Linked DNA regions of Lepisosteus oculatus. The protein of the gene in region 2 interacts with the protein of the main gene of each other region in a pairwise test. Links are inferred from orthologs where the notes say so. Each region holds a gene or a part of one and is shown on either strand. Other genes may lie near its edges. The genes, in order: abl2 and trip10a.

The links.
Region 1: the proteins of trip10a (region 2) and abl2 interact in binary tests that used the Homo sapiens proteins (3 or more experiments, as listed by UniProt). The link is inferred for Lepisosteus oculatus from reciprocal best matches to the Homo sapiens genes TRIP10 and ABL2.

The regions. Positions count from the first base shown.
Region 1 is NC_090704.1:29,004,840-29,008,757, reverse strand, and holds the start of abl2 (tyrosine-protein kinase ABL2), read right to left. Parts: upstream 2,806-3,918; 5' UTR 2,503-2,805; coding exon 2,295-2,502; intron 1-2,294. UniProt on the Homo sapiens protein: Non-receptor tyrosine-protein kinase that plays an ABL1-overlapping role in key processes linked to cell growth and survival such as cytoskeleton remodeling in response to extracellular stimuli, cell motility and adhesion and receptor endocytosis.
Region 2 is NC_090706.1:15,204,915-15,208,832, reverse strand, and holds the start of trip10a (cdc42-interacting protein 4 homolog), read left to right. Parts: upstream 1-1,359; 5' UTR 1,360-1,672; coding exon 1,673-1,696; intron 1,697-3,918. UniProt on the Homo sapiens protein: Required for translocation of GLUT4 to the plasma membrane in response to insulin signaling. Required to coordinate membrane tubulation with reorganization of the actin cytoskeleton during endocytosis.

The DNA.
Region 1 (3,918 bases), on a different chromosome or scaffold from region 2:
AAAATCTTTCTTTTCTGTGACAGTCAACGCCTCGCACAGCGACCACTGCCATATGAGAGAGAACATTCTAATATTCTCCTGAGTATGTCCACATTCTGAACCCTGAGCTCGAGTGTTTTTCAGATGTTTTAACAGTCCTTTTAACTTACATTCACAACTACATTGTAGCAGCACTTTAAACACTTTTAGCACCTTGTAGCAGGGGGTGCTCACCCTGTGGTCCACGTGGGCCCTAATGCCCCAGTATAGTGACGGGGACACTAGACTGTAAACAGGCGCCGTCCTTCGGATGAGACGTAAAACCGAGGTCCTGACTCTCTGTGGTCATTACAAATCCCAGGGTTTTTCTCGAAAAGTGTAGGGGTGTAACCCTGGCGTCCTGGCCAAATTTCCCATTGGCCCTCCCAATCATGGCCTCCTAATAATCCCCATCTATGAATTGGTTTCATTACTCTGCTCTCCTCCCCACTGATAGCTGATGTGTGGTGAGCGTTCTGGTGCACTGTGGCTGCCGTCGCATCTTCCAGGTGGATGCTGCACATTGGTGGTGGTGGAGGGGAGTCCCCATTACCTGTAAAGCGCTTTGAGTGGAGTGTCCAGAAAAGCGCTATATAAGTGTAAGCAATTATTCATTATTATTATTATTACCATTATCATCATCATTAAATCTTGGAGCTGGCTGGGACAAGAAAGGCCACCAAGCAATGAAAGTTCTTGCGAGTGTTAAAGAAAAAGGACTAACTCAGCGTTGTTACATTCAGGAATTAATGACAATGACAGTTACCAAAAGGATAGCACTCAAGCACTTGGAACAGACTGGGATGTTTGTTCTGGTTCTGCTCAGTCAGATCAACCATCAACGGAGCCGTCTCCTTCGCTGCTCTAAAAGTGGATGTCTCTCAAATCAATGAGCAAAATCGGAGTGCGCTCAGCTGTCTTAAACGTGGAGAAAAATTGTCAGCCAAACATTCAGAAGGGAAAAACCACTTGTAAAGGACGTGTCTTTACTTCGGCAGTGCAGAAAGAAGTATTGGATTCACCTGTGGCTTATTGTTCAGAGAGCTTTTCTAAGTACAATGATCACGTTTTAGTACTCAGCGACGAAAAAAAACACGCCCTCGTCTCAAATGTTTTCAACGCCGGGAACATGTCCTTGGTGTAGATTTTCTTTACAAGCCCACGAAATTATACTTTGGTACAGCATAAACAAGAGTAACGAAGAAGGCTTTTGAGCAGGCTTCCAATACGAGTCAGCCACTGCATCCCAGCCCTTAAGATCATTATTAAACAAGCGGCAGTGTATTGACAAAGGGAATGAACTGACACTTCGAGGCGCAGCTGTTGGGCAATGAAGGAGGCTCTTCATCGAGTACAGAATATACAGTTTTCAGCCCAATTTCCGTCAGACGCTAAATGCACTTAGGATGATTCACACAGGCTCGATGGCACTCATTGCACCTAATCTCTAACGACGGAGTGACTCGCTTTTCTCTCCACTACTGTACGCGCTGGGAAATCCTGAACACTGATTGCTCTATATTAAAACAAGTGACGCTTCTTGCATTGAGAGAATGGCTGCAGTTCGGAGTTACTGCTTTTAGTGTGACCCCGCCTGAATGCAAAGTCAAATAGCTAAAGCCAAACAGATGAAAGACCCTTAACAGAAAGTTCCAGTTTATTCAATCCGTCTATTGTTCATAAATATTCTCGGACGTATTATTTAATTAGGAAGCTCCGTATGATGATTGCTTTAGTGAAGCATACATCCTCAGTCACGACATTGTGAACAGTTTCCAGTTGAGAAGTCTACACCATTAGGGGAGCTGATATGTAATGGAGAACGGGCTCAGTTTTAATGCAATCTATATGTATTTGCAAAAGGAATGACAGTTAAATTCGACCAGCTGAGAGGTTAGCTAGTTTAAAGATAAGCTAAGGGAATGCATTACAATATACTTAAAACCTCATGAAGAGATCTTGCCTAAAAAACTCAACTTTGGCGTCTAGAATTAGACCGGGCTGTCACGTCGGTGTAGGAAAACTGGTTTCAAAGACATTTTCTCTCACTACCTGCTGTAGTGGCTCTCTCTAAACACTTAACTCGCCTGTATAGTCTTTTTTTAATGCATCGCGACTGAACATTTTTCACAAAGAAACACTAGCGATTTGAGGCGTTTGGGTAGTAATAGCTTACCACATCTGAAAACCGCCTTGACAAAACATCTGAATAACAGCAAAGGTATTCTTTCGCATGCATTTCTGAGGCGTTTTCTACCGCCCTCTAATAACCTTACCTGAATGCTGTGTGAAAATATTGATTCCCGGATCCGGTGTGCTGACAGCGGTAGTCCTACCAGGCGGGGTCCCTGTGGTAGCGGTCTCCCGTGGTCTCCTCCCGACGCCGCTTCCTCTACTCGCCCTTACCAGATGGTGCTGTTGAGACTGCGGCTGCTGGGGTCCGGTCGAGGATCCCTCCCCGACGCGGCCTACCTGTTGTCCCATATCCCCAGACCTCGGTAGCGCTCTTCCACGGGACGTAACCCACCCCCTTCCCGGTTCACATCCCACAGGAACGGAGCGGCCTGTTCCTTATTCTCTTCTTCCAGCCTCCCCGAAAGTATATAAGAAATCCTTTCACCCAGCAACCCAGGTACAGTCAGCAGATTTCCCGGAGCCGTTCGTTTCCCTCGCCCCAGTTTTCTTGCTCCTTCAGGGACGCTCCGTCTTCCTCCGGCCACTACGCGCCCCCTCTGCAGCCGCCATCTTTACCGCAGAACAGCGTTCACTTTTGCAGGGGGACTTCAGTCACCAGCTCCCGTCTGGAAAATCCAAGACCTCCAAGCCGCTAGGTGGAAAAGGAAAAAGAACACACACTCCTAAGTGGGCGTTGTTTGATAGTAACCGGATGCTAAGAAATCTTAAATTGTTTTTGTATTGATTCAATGGGTTCTGTGAATCGTACTCCAAAGTGGGCAAAATAGTTTAAGTACCATGATGAAATATGAATGCTCACCGTTTTACATAGGAACTATTTCTGAGTGCTTATGGTTTCATGACACTAAAGGCAATGCTTTACTTAACCATAGTTGTATAAGAATTTATTGACGAGCTGTGAACACAGGAATATTAATATGCCTTTTAATACACCTTATAAAATGACACCACTGATTCATGGAGACAAAGTGACATGGCAAAGACAGAAAAGTGTATTTGAGCAGAATACTATTGAGTTACCTATAGAAATCCAAACACTTCCCCCCCCAAATAAAGTATTTTATATAGCACCTTTAAAGGTGGCTTCTCAAAGCACTTTACAGAATGACAAATAAAAAAAAAAATACAAGATAAAACACAATTACAATATACAGAGGAGATGATGGATGGGAAATGAGGAAAGTGAATTTTCTATTGGAAGCCATAAAATCAATTTCCAACATGCTTTTGCAAGTTGTTGCAAAACTACTCTAATCTTTCTACAGCTGGAGATCAAGGTTTTGCTTGCTAGACTCCCGTGCAGGAAAAAGGGAGAAGTATAGCTTTGGATGCTAACTTAAGGTTTAAGGGCTCTTTATATAGACAAACTTACACAGGGTTTAAGTAAGCTAAGGAACATTAAGTGCTTTATAGGGAAAATGTGCACTTGCATTAAACTATAAATATGCCTCCCCTTTATAAATCCAGGAGTTCCTAATTAACTACATGCTTCTCATCTTGGCACCTAGACAGGTGAGTAGAGGGACACAGCCTGACTCCTTACTTATTTGGGTGAAAAGTCTCTAACCATTAGCACAGGCAATCCAGCCCTACCTGATTAATTGCACATTGCCCCATAGTGCACTCTTGTAAGCTAGCATAATCCAGCATTTAGACAGGTTCCAACCCCCCTTCTTTTCTATAGGATGTACTTGGCATGGAATA
Region 2 (3,918 bases):
CTTTAAGGTGCACATCAGTTCCGCATATGAGCTAAAATTGCTTTTGACAGTGAGTCGAAGAGTGGGGTGTACAGGAAAATGTCTTCACTAAATGCATGAAAGGTTTGCATCTCAGGGCTATTTTGGGCGAATGCACAAACTGTGCAAGTGAACTGAAGAAGTGTTGTTGATAACGAGGGCAGGAGGACATTTGTCTGACCTTCTTGCACAGTAGCGTGTTGGAAGTGTAATTTCCACTTTTTGCCGCAAGATGGAGCTTTCTGCACATCACGCACATCCCAGATTCACAGTGCTTCGTACTTCACAGAACATTAAAGTTTGAATAGTTTACAAATTAGAAAAATTGACGAAAAAACTTTAAAACACACAGAATTATCGCGTATTTACATTCTATGAAGATATTCAGTATATTTCCAGTCACCCTTCTTCTTTGGTTGCTTGTAATTTATTGATCAGAGTGTCTCAGCCGGCAGATTCATAATTGTTTACTCATCATATATAATACCGCCGAGCGGGTTGTTCCAGACACTCACCACCCTCGTTGTAAAGAAGCATTCATCTCGTCTGTATCAAAACACATCAGTTTTCTGATAGCTGTTAGTTTGTAATCTGCTATGTATGTCGTGTCGCCGCCAACCAAATCGGATTTCACACGAGGGATGGCCACCTTGACAAACGCACGACAGGCTCTGTGGATGGTAATTGTTGTTGTGAGTCTTAATTGAATAATGTCCCCTTCATTGTTCCTGTGGATTATTATGATCGCATTTACCTTCTTTCAATCGCGTTTTTAAAGCAGGCTCCAGCTCAGGTTCGTGGTGTCGTATTCCGCGCCACCGCTAGGCGGAGCTGTGGTGAAGCTCCTATCGTACCTCTCCAGGTGGCTCAAACTCAAATCCGTCTTCTACAATCCCGGGAGCTCGACTGTCCCACCTAATCTCTGTGCGCCCAAAGCAGATAAGACGTCTCACACACAAGCACTTCGGTATTTGCTGTTACTCGTGAGGAAACTCACGTTTCCCACCGGAAGCACGGAATCGCTTGAGCCAGCGTATACAATGAAATAAGAGGCTCATCTATCCCTAAATTAAAACGCACAAAAGAGAGTAGAATCGTATATTAACACAATAATACCGAAGTGTTTGTGTGTGAAACGTCTTGTTATTAAACGAAAGGGTACAAAAATAAGGTATAAAGAGTTATTTTTACTCTTTCGTTTAATAATACGACTTTCCTTAATCGTATTTTTGTTCACTGTTATTAAAAGCAGAGTGATAACTTTTTCCAGTTTTTGCGCGTTAATCGAAACACGGCAACAGCGATAGGAAACGGCTCCAGCCCCTGGTCTGTAGCTGATAGGCGCGGCAGCAGAGCGCACCGCCGAGTCAACACGGGGTCGCCTTGCGCCGAGCAGGAATTACTGCCCGGCCCCTTTAAGGATTGAGGATCTGGGAGTGACGCGGATACGAGGGCTGGAACATCCCACCTCGCTTTGCGACTGCGAGACGAGGCGCAAGAGCGAAGGGAAAAAATGTTTGATGTCGCTTAATCAGGGAAGAGTTTATCCATCGATCTCTCGGTTTTGTAGCGCTCATATATCGTCTCTTCGGGATATACTGTGCGGCGGGTCGTGACACTTCTGGACTCCTGCAAACTCCCAGGCGTTGTCGCGATGGACTGGGGCACGGACCTTTGGGTAAGTTTAATCCTCTTGCTATTTTTTACTTTTGTACTGGAGTTGAAATGAGATGCATATTTTTTTTCTTTTCTTTGAAGTTTAACCGCCCCCCCCACCCCAGCACAACACAACACAACACACGCGCAGCTCTTTTGACTAGAAAGGCGGATTTCGTTTTGATTTTTCATGCTCTGCTGGCTAAATTGGCGAGCCTTGTCCAAAAGACTTTTATAAAGTCGTTCAACTGAAAAAAAAACAACAACCTCCAAATCTTTTGTTGTTCTTGTTGGCCCGGATACACCCCATCAAGTTGATGGGAGTTACCTCAATCAATTAAGGTTACCTTAACCTTAAACAGTGTCCGCTTTTGTGTTTGTTAGGGAAGTTTTTTTTGGGTCAGTGGGGTACTTAATTGTAGGCTAGGTTGCTGCTCGTCTCTTCTGTCTTTGGCGCAAAATAGGTCAACATGTTAAAAAGTTAACGTTGGCTCTTAACGTGGTCAGTAAAACGTGCTCTTTATTATAAAGGGTCGGCGTGGGTGCTGCCGTTGCCTGCCCTGCAAACACAAAACAGCTGACCGTGATTTTTTTTTTAATCGTTCAATAAAGCCGATCCTATTTTAGATGGGATCGAATCTGTACGATCATACGCACGCAGAAACTGTAACTGTAGAAGAGAAAAAAAACACACAACCTTTCAGGCCACATATTGAACAGAACACGTATTGCGGCTACCCGGGGCTCGCCTTGTAATTTGCTAGATATTTTTAAATGCGCGGCGAGTCCAAGTCCGCCGCATCCTGCGCGCTGCGTGGATGTGGGCTTGTCGTGATGTAGTAGCCTGCAGGGCAGACGCGTCCCCCGTGACGAGCTGCAGCCCCGATCAGTGGTTACAAACGCGACACAGCGCAGGGTCTTCTTAGACCGTCACCCTCTAATTAAGTCGCACTACCGCTGGGCCGAATAAGTCTCCTCTTGCAAGGCGGCGTGAGTGTCCCGACAGCAGCATGTTTTGTCACTAAGGTCTGTGACATGGTACATTATGTAAAAGTTGTGGGAGTTTTACTTCCGAGCAGTCGTCAGACGTCTTGCTGGGTGAAGTTTTTCGGACGTGTCACGTTTTTTTTTTTACCCCTGCGGGCGGTCTGGGTTTGGCCTGTTAATTGGCCCTCGTTGGGCTCCGTGTTGCGAGGTTAATAAAATTGTCTTTTTCGGCCCGTTTCCGACATCGGATCCCTGTTATTGTTATTATTACTACTACTCCTGCTGTGCCGGAGAGGAAACGGCGACTCCCAGTCATTTCCCTTGTTCGTGCCTTGCGCCGTACGTGATGCCCAACTGCGCGCCCGGCTTCACCCTGGATGTCGCGGTTTCTCGTTTTGTCTCCACGGACTGTTACCTCTCCTCCGAACCACTGGGCTTATTCTCTCGCCTGGCTTCAAGGGTCAGGTCCTAAAAGGCGGCAGTGGCGATTGGGGTCTGAAGTGTCTGGAGAGAGACTGGACCACAGTTCCCACACCAGTGCCCTCAGTATCCTGGCTGGAGACGCTGTGCTGTAGGACGTGAAACCAAAGTCCCGCCAACTTGGTCATTAAAGATCCCAGGGCGCTCTTTGCAAATAAGTAGAGTAAAAGTTAAAAAAAACTGGCTCAAGGACCCCCCCCCCCCATGCCCTGGATAAATTCCAGCACTCTGGGCTTGAATAGTTTGGCCTCTCAAAAGTTCCTGCTTAATGCAGCTGGTGGAACAGTTCCTCACTCGCCTCCCCTGTCAGTCCAGTGAGAGGTAAAGTGCATCACTCCTTCCTCGGGACGCTCTTTGGGTTGGAATGCTCTCTATAATCGCAGGTCATTTTCATCGAAGGGAGCATCAACAGTGCCAATCGGCTGTGAAGGGCTGGTGAAGTTCACACTGGGGCAGCTTGTCGAATATAGAGCAACCTCAACCCGCCAGCACCACTCCCCCCCCCCCCACACACAAACAGGTCAGGGGTCAAAGGAGGTCAAAGGTCGCTATCCCTTCAGTGCAGAGCTGGAGCTGCTGACTGTCCAGCCTGAGGAGATGAGATTTAAGACTTAAGAGAGATGCTCTGAGCTGACTCCGGGGTGCAGGCAGGAGTCTGGAGTCTGGCTCGGCTTCGCCTTGCATCAGGGTGGCCCACCCCTCCATGTCAAAGAACTGTTCGATATTGAATCAGGCGCTGAACTGACTGGAGCAGATTGTTTTCCCCCCTGTGTTTAT